Oryzias latipes: one gene and its partner. Each later gene encodes a partner of the first gene's protein in a complex. Links are inferred from orthologs where the notes say so. Each region holds a gene or a part of one and is shown in the gene's direction. Other genes may lie near its edges.

Region 1 (6,185 bases):
AAGCAAATGGTTTGTATTGTTTGAGGTTTATTAACTTAATTGTAGTTTATTATGATGACAGAGAAAACAGTGTAATATGTGGAAATGACTCTTTTTAGAACAAAATGTGAACAAAATCTTTGCACAAGTTGGTTCATCCTAATAAATCCTCATCAGATTTTAAACTAGGACTCATTCTAACCCCAAATTACGGCGTAAAATTCGTTTTTTGAGGCTTAAATTGAATTTTTCTATTGTTAAGAATTTGGAATAAATTTCTGGATCCTAGCTCTGATTTTAAGACAGTCCTGGAACGGTGTAAAACACCGAGAAGTTCAAACCTGATTAAATATCTTGAATGTTTAAAAACATTCAAGTTTGAAATCGTTGCAAGGATCAAATCCTTTGCAGGGAAGTTATTCCTTTATGAGCTGCCATTGAAAATAGCTTAACAGTGAATTTAATAAAGGACTGTGTGACAGCTTTCAAATGAAGGGGGATTTTATTATTATTTTTTATTTCCCTTTTATTGATTAACTTCTAAACAGGACAAAAATCAAATATATAGTCTTAAAAATGAACTAAAAAACCCGCTGCCGTCTTCTATCAGGGGCGAGTCCTGCAGTGCTTCTCCTTTTTTCCGTGTGGTCTAGACGCGTCCTGACAATGGCCTAGTTCACTGTTAAAAATAAAGCTCTGAATCAGGCCAGTGCTTCCTGATTTGACTTGTTCATCCCAGTAATTCAAGGAAACTGATGAAGACACCTCTCCAGAAGAACTCGCTGTGCGTTTGCAGCAAAGAATCTGGTAAATAAAATAGTAAAAGTGTTTATCGTTTATTTTTGCAGGCATGTTACAGAACGGAAAAAAGTTCGACTCCTCCCGGGACAGGAACAAGCCTTTTAAGTTCAAGATTGGACGGATGGAGGTCATAAAAGGCTGGGAGGAAGGAGTTGCACAAGTAAGAGTTTGATCTTTAGATTCCTAAAGTTTCTGGGGCGTTTTTACTCTTTTTGTGTATTTTCATAGCAACACTTGCAGGGAAACTGAGAACCTCTTCTCCTAAGTTATTGCTCTGTGTTCTTTTCCCATTCCCTGCCCTCAGATGAGCCTCGGTCAAAGAGCCAAAATCACCTGCACACCTGATATGGCGTACGGCGCCACCGGCCATCCCGGGGTCATCCCACCAAACGCCACCCTCGTTTTTGACGTGGAGCTGCTCAAGCTGGAGTGAAGCCTGCAACAGAAAAACGCTAAAGGTTGTTTCAGTGAGGGGGCCACACCTGGTTGCCACCTCCTTTATTTTGATCTCTACGGTCCTCTAACTCAGCATTTACATGTGTCCTGTGCTGCTTTGTTGCCATCCTGTCCTTATAGATTTTGCTACAAAGAAACCCCAAGACTTTTACACCATTTTTGATTTCTTCATCTTAATCGAAACAAACTGCCTTACCAAATGATGAATGGAAGAGGACATGTATTCAAGATACAACATCTCTGCTCTGTATATTACCTGGGCATTATACACACAACTGTTTGCATTGTCACTTTGATAAAGTGTTGTCCTGCTGAATGCTCTGAATGACCTTTAGTTTATTTTATAAATTTTATGCACATTTGCGGCAAGTGTACCCGATCAACTTCAACCCAATACTGTACAGCACTCAAGCCAATATGACCTAAATAAAAGTGGGGTGTACTGTGTTGAGAAGTCTGGGTCCTGTTTTTATTTTAAGATGAATCAAATCGCATTTCCAGTACATATATTCTCCAAAAGTATAACTTAAAACATGAAGGAAAATATCAAAACGATACAAACTTAGGTTTTGGAAATTAAGATTTAGAAAATGAGAAGCCTAATGGGACAATGTATAGACTATTATGACTTTGTTGTTTTGGTGCCTTAAAGCTTTTATTCTTTGATTCTTTTGTGATTATGTGAATAATTATAATATGTAATAATCTATGCATATAATATAGTAAGTTTAGTGGTGGGAAAAAAAATACAATTTGTCTTCTACCTACTCCTTTTTGAGCAATTTATCAACCATTTTATTTAAGTTTTTGATTTTTTTGCTTGAAAGTAAAAGGAAAATAGAAGGCAGTTTAATAGACACAGTATTATTGAACTTTAATCACAAACAGCAGTTTAGAATCAATATACTTTTTTCTAAGTTATAAAAAGTTCTTCCTTTATTTGTTTTTGCACATTAATTACCTTCTCTTGTTCAAATTTCTAATGATATGGTATCAACTCATATCTATGATGTCACTGGAGGTTAAAAAAAAGGCAATTCAAACAATAAAAAACAATAAAATAAAAGCTAAAATAAAGATGAAAAATATAAAATATAGAAATAAAATAGGGATCTGCCTATTAGAAGAAATAAATAAATAAAAAACTAAATAGCCTTATTGCTATCATATAATTAAAGACCCAATATATATATATTTTAGTTTCTTTAAAAACATTTATTGAAAGGGATTTTACTCATTTCTTTTTCTACCTCTTATGCTTATAATGTTTATCAAATGTGTAATTAGCTTTATGTATTAGAAAAATAAACTTCTGTAAAACGGAAGTAGTTCTTTACTTCCGGTGACGCAGGTCAAAGGTGATGCCGTGTGACCACAGCACGGGATTGGTCGATCGCAGTGTGCTTACAGTTCATTGGACAGGAAAACGCACGCCTTCTACCAACTCGAATAAGAAAAAAACAAAACAAGCTACAAGGTCAGAATATTGTTATATATTTTTTTATTTTAAAGCGATGTTTTGCAAATAAGAAATTTATTAGTTTGCGTACTGGTTTTTGTGTTGTTTTTTAAGCTAAACTACGGTTCTTGTTGACTAAAGTAAGTAGAGTTAGCAGACTAGCTTTAGCCCTCACGGGTTAGTTTTTCTTATTGCTTGTCTTTTATTTTTTTGTCTTTTAGTTTTTGTGTCATTTCTTTTATAGCCAAGTCTCTAAATGTATTACTGTTGGTAATGTTGTCACATGTTGTTGTATTTTTTGGACGCAGTTTGTCATAATGTTGTATATTCGGGGAGCAAACGCTTCACAAATCATGATAATACACTTCTTTGCAAGCTACATTTTTATTGTTAGCACATTTTAAGCATCTAAAATTATTTAGGTAGCTTTGTAATATTATTATTTCGATTTTTCATTAAAATATACAAAATACAACACCATCTCTGGAAAATGTAAGCAGATATTCCTATTTGTAACAATCAAAAACAGGAAGTGTATAAATATTCCAACCAATGTTTTATAAATAGTAGTAATGATGTCTTTTTGAGCAGAAATGATGGCTCGTTCACTTGAATGGTGGGATGACCTTATGGGTCATGTCCCTATGTCATGACCTTATGACCCTCCCTGTAATTTCAGGTCATCTCTGAGCCGGCAGTAAGTATGCTGTCTGCACACAAAGCATGTGCAGCACTAGCCGCCCGCCGCCTGCTTCAAGCCTCCGCCTCCTCGTCCCACACACGCCACCGTCTCATCCACACGTCCTCGTCGCATCGGGACAGATCCCAGCTGCATCCGGAGTGGGCCAGCCTGGCTAAGAAACAGCTGAAAGGAAAGAACCCAGAGGATCTAATATGGCGCACACCTGAGGGAATCAGCATCAAGCCGGTGTACACTCAGGCTGACTCAGAGGGACGTGCTGATGAACTGCCGGGAACGTTTCCCTACACTAGAGGGCCCTATCCCACAATGTACACATACAGACCATGGACAATCAGGCAGTATGCTGGCTTTAGCACCGTGGAGGAGAGCAACAAATTCTATAAAGATAACATTAAAGGTATATTGTTTTCATATAACACAAATATTGGAATTAGATATTTTAATCTGCATTTTGGGTCCCATTGTTGTGTCTAAAATATGAATTGTATGATTCTAGTTTGTTTCTTAAAGGTATTTAAATAGTCTTCACTTAAAGGATGGGCATTGTATAATTTTTTTTTAAAGTAAATAAAATATTCATAGTAAGTGCAAACTGCCCTGTTTCGGGGGTATTAATCTCAATAATTGTGTGTCTACTTTCATGTTTTATTTAACGAAACCTTAAAAATAGAAGAAATATTTCTAAATATTCCCATATTTTGAAGATTGTATTTAAAGTAAAGCAGTCCAAATTAAATTGACATCTTTTGGTTTTGTCGTTTCAGCCGGCCAGCAGGGCCTCTCCGTGGCTTTTGACCTCCCAACTCACCGTGGTTACGACTCGGACAACCCCAGAGTCCACGGGGATGTGGGCATGGCCGGAGTAGCCATAGACTCGGTGGAGGACATGAAGCTGCTCTTTGATGAAATCCCTCTGGAGAAGATGTCCGTGTCGATGACCATGAACGGCGCCGTCATCCCAGTTCTGGCCATGTTTATCGTGACTGGAGAGGAGCAGGGCGTTCCCAAAGAGAAGCTAACCGGCACTATTCAAAATGACATTTTAAAAGAATTCATGGTACGCAACACGTATATCTTCCCTCCGGAACCTTCCATGCATGCCATAGCCGACATCTTTGCTTATACCTCCAAGGTAAGCAGCACTTTTGATTTTGTACCTTTTATAATGTTATCATAAATGTAAAAAACGATGTTTCTTGATCCAAGAACATGCCCAAGTTCAACTCCATCTCCATCAGTGGCTACCACCTTCAGGAGGCCGGGGCGGATGCCATCCTGGAGCTGGCCTACACTATCGCCAACGGGCTGGAGTATTGCCGGACGGGACTGAAAGCAGGTTTAACCATCGACGAATTTGCCCCAAGGTACCAAAAATTAAGCAAAACGCCAATGAGTGCAAACATATGCTTAGAAGTGGATGTATGTTGAATCATCAAATATACAGACCAGTTTTTTTCAACCTTTTTGAACCAAGTTACACTTTTTCCTTCATAAAAATATCTCCAACTGAGACTATTAAAAGACCCACTTCAATAAAAAAAAATGTGTTTTTGGTTTTTGTGGCATTCTCCTCATGATGGAGGACATTCATAAAGAACATCAAGCGTAAAATTGCATCTCTGAGGATTTCTTTTTATTCAAATTGTTGTGAATCAGGAGCAGACGATCAGCAGAGCCGATCTGTCTGCTTCTCAGACCAGTTGGACTTTTTTTCTTTAACACTGATCGTCTCAGATTGCTCTTGTGAAATGTTTCAGTCAAAAGGTTTTTGGTTTTAACACAGACATGTCTGCTATGAATATGTGTCCAGATGATGCAACGCACTGGCAGTGGTATAACATTTTATAGTTATGAAAAATGCTGAAAAAGTCATGCGTTTTCAGTGATTTTCCACTGCCAATTTTGCTTTTACTCACCGTTAATCTGCCAAGCTCTTTTATTCGAATTTGCTCCACATCACACAGAGCATCTAAGGAAATAGCATCTGAGTTGGTAGAAAACATGCGACTCCACAAAAACAGCAGCTTTTAATGCATCAGGGTTCTCAAACTTAAACCTCAGGACCATCGCTTCAGTCCTTGACCTTTCCCTGCTGATCAGGACTCGCATACACTTATTATCTTCCTAATAATTGGTTTCTTAGACTTTGTTCAGCCTGACTCTGATCTGACCTTTACATTTACGTGGGAGAAACTCCTTTTTATCATATAAAATTAAATAAAATCACAAACAATATGACTGAATGAAGAAACAATAGCAATAAAACGTAAAAGCAATAAAATAATAAAACTAACAAGCTGGCCCACTAGATCCGCTCACTGGAGTTCAAAGCCTTAGTAAGAAGTTGAGTTTATAAAAGTGTCTTCATATTCCTGATGGTTCTGGCAGACCTCACAGAAAAGGAGAGAGCGTTCCAGAGTTTAGGAGCTGCAACTGAAAAGTCCCCGTCGATTTTACTCATTTTAGAACTTTTTGTTGTGGATTCTTTTTCACATATATACTAGATTAGTTCCTATTACTCTTTGCAATATTTAATGTCGTTTTTGATATAAAGTTAAAAGCTTTTCCATGTTGAAACTGAGGATATGTTCTAAATACTTTATGTTTTAACGTTAAACTAAAAAGTAAGTGAAGTGCTGTTATATATTTATGCAGCTGTTGGGTAACAGCTTTACTCAGATCATCTTTGGATCCATTTATAGTATTCCTGGTGGTCTTTTATTTAGGGGTATTTTAAATTTTCTAGGACATAGTTTCTGCAGAGCGGCAGGAGTTCATTAGAAATTC
Region 2 (4,296 bases), on another chromosome or scaffold:
GTCTTTGCTAAATTCAAAGTGTTTCCACACATTGGACTGGAATGATGGACTGATCGTCACATACGTGTTGTCTGTTGTGATGGAACTTGGTTGTTTTTCCCTTATATCAAAATAAACCTACTGTGTTTCACTCCAAACAACATTTTCCAATATTGATTATCGATTGATCTCATTTTGAAGATTCCGGTCTGTTGAGGGTCTTCATTTTTTAAATGCATTTTGTTATTAACAGTCAGATTTTTTTAGGTTTCATTTGTTTAAACTGGTCTTATGCACATTTAGTGAGTTGTGGATTTCTCAAATAAACCATCAGTAAGTTTGATGAGTGGGCTGAACGGCGGTGAAGGGGTTATCTCTCTCACCTAACAGTGAGTGGTTCAAATCCCTGCCAGGACCTTTCTGTGTGGAGTTTGCAGGTTCTCCCGGTGCATGTGTAGGTTTTTCTTTAGCTTCCTCCCACAATCCAAAAACATGCTTCATAGGTAAATTGAAGGCAACCTGTCCGGGGTGTACCCTGCCTGTGCCCAAAGGTAGCTGGATTTGACCCCAGCAACCCCGGAAGGGATTCAGAAAAGGGTTGGATGAGTGCTCTTTCTCTGTTCTGATTTGTCAGGGCTTTCTGGTCCCCCTGGTGCTGGGAAGTCATCCTTCATTGAGGTAGTGGGGAAAATGTTAACGGGGCGTGGTCACAAAGTGGCTGTCCTGGCTGTTGACCCGTCCTCATGCACCACAGGAGGTAACATCTGACCACACTTTTTGTCAGAACTAATGCAAAGTTTGTCACGTTTTTTTTAAAGAGTTGACACCTTTCATCTACATCACAGTTTCATGAGTTCTTCTCCTAATTAGCTCTTTAAGCAGAAGTCATTCACCGACTCCAATGCTTCTGCAGGCTCCCTGCTGGGCGATAAAACTCGCATGACTGAGCTTTCTCGAGACATGAATGCTTTTATCAGACCGTCGCCGACCTCAGGGACGCTCGGCGGTGTCACCAGAACCACTAATGAGGCCATTGTTCTCTGTGAGGGGGCGGGCTACGACGTGATCCTCGTGGAGACCGTAGGTGAGCCTCATCCCAAATGTCCTTCCTCCGCCGCAGCATCATGTTTATTAGCCTAAAGATAATTGTAATGTTGTTTGGACGGCTTCATAAAAAGTAGGAAGTAGCTGTCCAAAAAGGATTCGCGGTACTTCTGACTCTCTTGCGGTCTTGAGTGAAACTATTAGGGACGAATTTGTGCCAGTCTCATCTGCGCATCAGAACTGCTTTTTTTTTTTTCAAGGAGGAAATTTATTCACTGTGAGGAATCTCAAGTTTGTCCAAGCTCATGATTATTCAAAAGCATTTTTTCAGCTTTTCAGGAAGTCTTGATTAAAATTTGCATGATTTTACTCTCACTGTACAGGCGTGCAACAGAATATGTGCTAATGTAACCGATCAGGAGACTTAATTAGATTGAGGAGGGGGGGTATGAATAAATTTAGATTGACATGATTTATTTGTTCATTTCTAGGCAGCAACAATATGTATATATATATATATATTTTTTTTTTTTTTTCCCAGGTGTCGGACAGTCTGAATTTGCTGTAGCCGACATGGTGGACATGTTTGTGCTTCTGATTCCACCAGCAGGGGGCGATGAACTCCAGGTGGGTTCGAGGAACATCACCTTTTTTTTTTTTTCCTCAAACCTCTGGTCTTGTTCAGCGGCGGACGAGACATGGAGCTTTGAGGGTTTATGTATATCACTCATGTTTGTTCTCTGTTGTAATGGCTGAAAATGAAACTGCATCAATTTATCATAATTGTATTTAACAACCTGGAGTTTAATGTAAAAACATCAGCGTTTGACTCAAATCTTTTTATTTCTGTCTCTCCTTCCTAATGTGATCAATCCGCTTTTTTAGGACCGCCCACATTGTCCAACAAGCCGTCACAAGAATCCAGAAGTTATTTTTTGCTCTTTTATAAAGCAACAGACAAGTATCTCATTTTTCTGACCTTTTATAGAAACAAACTTGCATTTATTTCTGATGCTTTGCTTTGCTTTCATGCAGACGTATTTGTCTTCTTCGCTCTCACTCTTGTGACACATAGGGTCATACTTTGATCAGGACGGCGATGAACGAAGCGGATAAACAGTTTTCGGTCAGAGTTGTCTGCCTGCAGATATCAGTTCTTTTGTAAACTGATCTTGCTTTTTTGTGCTGAGAACAAACATGTTTTTGTTTATTCATTGTAGATGTAGAACACAATGCCCTTTAACTTTCTGAATCCTACAAAATAGTTGATTTCCACTAAATTGATAGTCCAGGACGTGTTTTTCCTTCATCTTCTCTATAAAACCATCTGCAATCTGAAACATTTGACGTCTTTCTTTAAACCATTTCGAATGTTCATATATCTCTGATGTCGTTTCCTTTTTCTTCTATGCATTTTCTGGCCCTATATAACTATAAAGGCCCACAGTGCTTTACAGTCACAGCTCCATTCACTCACTGATGGCTGAATGTGCCAACCTATAACCACCAGCAGTATCCCCCAGATACACATAGTACAGATTTAAAATATTTGCATAAGTAAAGTGTGGTGAAGAACAACAGAAGAGCTGAAACATAAAAGATGACGTCTATAAACTGGACAGGCAGTAAAGAAACCAGACCTAAAGTGTGGTTTTAAAGCTTAGGTCTTTGTCCAGGGCATCAAGAGGGGCATCATTGAGAGGGCAGACCTGGTTGTGGTGACAAAGTCAGATGGTGACCTTGTGGTGCCGGCCAGAAGAATCCAGACGGATTACACCAGCGCGCTGAAGCTGCTGAGGAGAAGGACTAAATCCTGGAACACTAAGGTGTGTGAATTTGCTGGTTCAGATGAGACTTTCTTTTTTACCACTTGCAGTTTCCTGTTGATTATTTCAAACACACTGTGATCAGAATGATCACGACGGTGTTTCACCACACAAACTGCACTTAAACCGCACAGCAGCCTGTGAAACTGGAAGAGCTCACAGTAACATTGTGCTGAGCTGAAAGCATCACAAAAATCTGAAATCGCCGGCAGCTTCATCCTTCAGGGTCAGCCTTGTGTTTGTTATTTATGAATGTGAACCAGGCTGCCCCACAAGCAAACCTCTGAAATGGCATATCAGCTTTGTAAACTCTTCCTGTCCTGGGAAACAAACGGACAAAGGAAAACTCTGAAACTCCATCTTCAAACTCAGAACAAAAAATCCTGTTTTTTTAAAAGAACTTTCTGGTTGGACAGTGGAGCAGATTTCTTTCTAACTGTATTTGAAACTGTTCACTTTTGTGGGCAAAGAGAGATGATGTTTTCTGGTGAATAATAGACGTCAGCAAAAAGTAAAAAAGCGACTCTAAGATGAAAGTGCCATGCAGCCCAAACCTGGAAGACATTTCAGATGTTGGCAGTTCCCCAGACAACAGATTAGTTCCACACATAGAAGCTTTTTGTTTTTTGCGTTATCATACTGAGATGTTGGTTATGTTTCTGAAACAGGATCTACTTTGCAGGCCGTGGTCTTTCCTGGTCCCAATGTTTAAAGTCTGAATGAACAGTGACTTTAGTAAAAGTCCATTTCTGGTGCATGGAATAACTTTTTCTTTATTGGACTAAAGAGCAGTTCTCATTAAAGTGTCCTCTTAATGATGTTGACAGAAACTCTCTAAATCGTTTGTAATCCATTCTTTGCCAAACTGTACTTTACATTATGCCATTTATTATGACAAATGAATGCACTTAAGGCAGAAGCTCTTGTCAGCAGATTCTTGCAGCAGCAGGCGTTTTATGAACATTTGTAGCACAAAAGTGAGATGATCAATAAGAAGAAGCCCTTAACAAAAGTGAGGATGTAGTTAAATACCCTGTTTTATGAAACCCCACTTTCCCAATCACAAACTTCATCCAAAGGTGGTGCACGCCTCCTCCTACACCTCTGAGGGCATCCCAGAAGTCTGGGCCAAGATGGAGTCCTACAGGCACGCCATGCTGAGCAGCGGCGAGCTGCAGGACAGACGGAGGGCCCAGCAAAAGGTGTGGATGTGGACTTTGATCCAGGAGAACGTCCTCTGTCATTTCCAAAATCACCCAAAAGTCAAGGAGGCTCTACCTGACCTGGAGGAGAAGGTCACCAGAGGAGTCGTCTCTCCTGGACTGGCTGCTGACCTGCTCCTTAAAGCCTTCTCTGCACAGTGAGCAGCAGGCCGGAACGCCGTGGGATGCAAGCAGGTTTTGCTGCTGGTCCCAAGTTACAGAGTGAACATGTGCGACCCACACAA

Evidence for each region. Proteins that work in one complex are often made in the same cells at the same time.
Region 2: the proteins of mut (region 1) and mmaa are in contact, whole or in part, in a crystal structure (PDB 8GJU), measured with the Homo sapiens proteins. The link is inferred for Oryzias latipes from reciprocal best matches to the Homo sapiens genes MMUT and MMAA. Residues at the interface, in NP_000246.2 of Homo sapiens: Lys496, Glu609, Arg610, Glu611, Gly612, Arg613, Arg614, Arg616, Ala635, Thr636, Ala639, Asp640, Gly642, Phe643, Asp644, Val645, Asp646, Ile647, Gly648, Pro649, Leu650, Phe651, Gln652, Glu656, Gln659, Gln660, Val662, Asp663, Ala664, Asp665; in NP_001362573.1 of Homo sapiens: Arg98, Ala99, Ala102, Glu103, Thr106, Glu109, Ser110, Thr111, His112, Ser182, Ser186, Gly187, Gly188, Ser189, Leu190, Leu191, Lys194, Thr195, Met197, Thr198, Ser201, Arg202, Met204, Tyr207, Ile208, Arg209, Pro210, Ser211, Pro212, Arg214.

What each region holds. Positions count from the first base shown.
Region 1 is NC_019882.2:3,015,487-3,021,671, forward strand, and holds the start of mut (methylmalonyl-CoA mutase, mitochondrial), read left to right. Parts: upstream 1-2,586; 5' UTR 2,587-2,713; intron 2,714-2,719; exon of another isoform or gene 2,720-2,835; intron 2,836-3,374; 5' UTR 3,375-3,398; coding exon 3,399-3,795; intron 3,796-4,162; coding exon 4,163-4,530; intron 4,531-4,604; coding exon 4,605-4,762; intron 4,763-6,185. Other genes in the region: peptidyl-prolyl cis-trans isomerase FKBP1B, read left to right, coding at 828-940, 1,085-1,213. UniProt on the Homo sapiens protein: Catalyzes the reversible isomerization of methylmalonyl-CoA (MMCoA) (generated from branched-chain amino acid metabolism and degradation of dietary odd chain fatty acids and cholesterol) to succinyl-CoA (3-carboxypropionyl-CoA), a key intermediate of the tricarboxylic acid cycle.
Region 2 is NC_019859.2:18,378,768-18,383,063, forward strand, and holds part of mmaa (methylmalonic aciduria type A protein, mitochondrial), read left to right. Parts: intron 1-613; coding exon 614-736; intron 737-892; coding exon 893-1,063; intron 1,064-1,564; coding exon 1,565-1,650; intron 1,651-2,699; coding exon 2,700-2,849; intron 2,850-3,928; coding exon 3,929-4,213; 3' UTR 4,214-4,296. UniProt on the Homo sapiens protein: GTPase, binds and hydrolyzes GTP. Involved in intracellular vitamin B12 metabolism, mediates the transport of cobalamin (Cbl) into mitochondria for the final steps of adenosylcobalamin (AdoCbl) synthesis.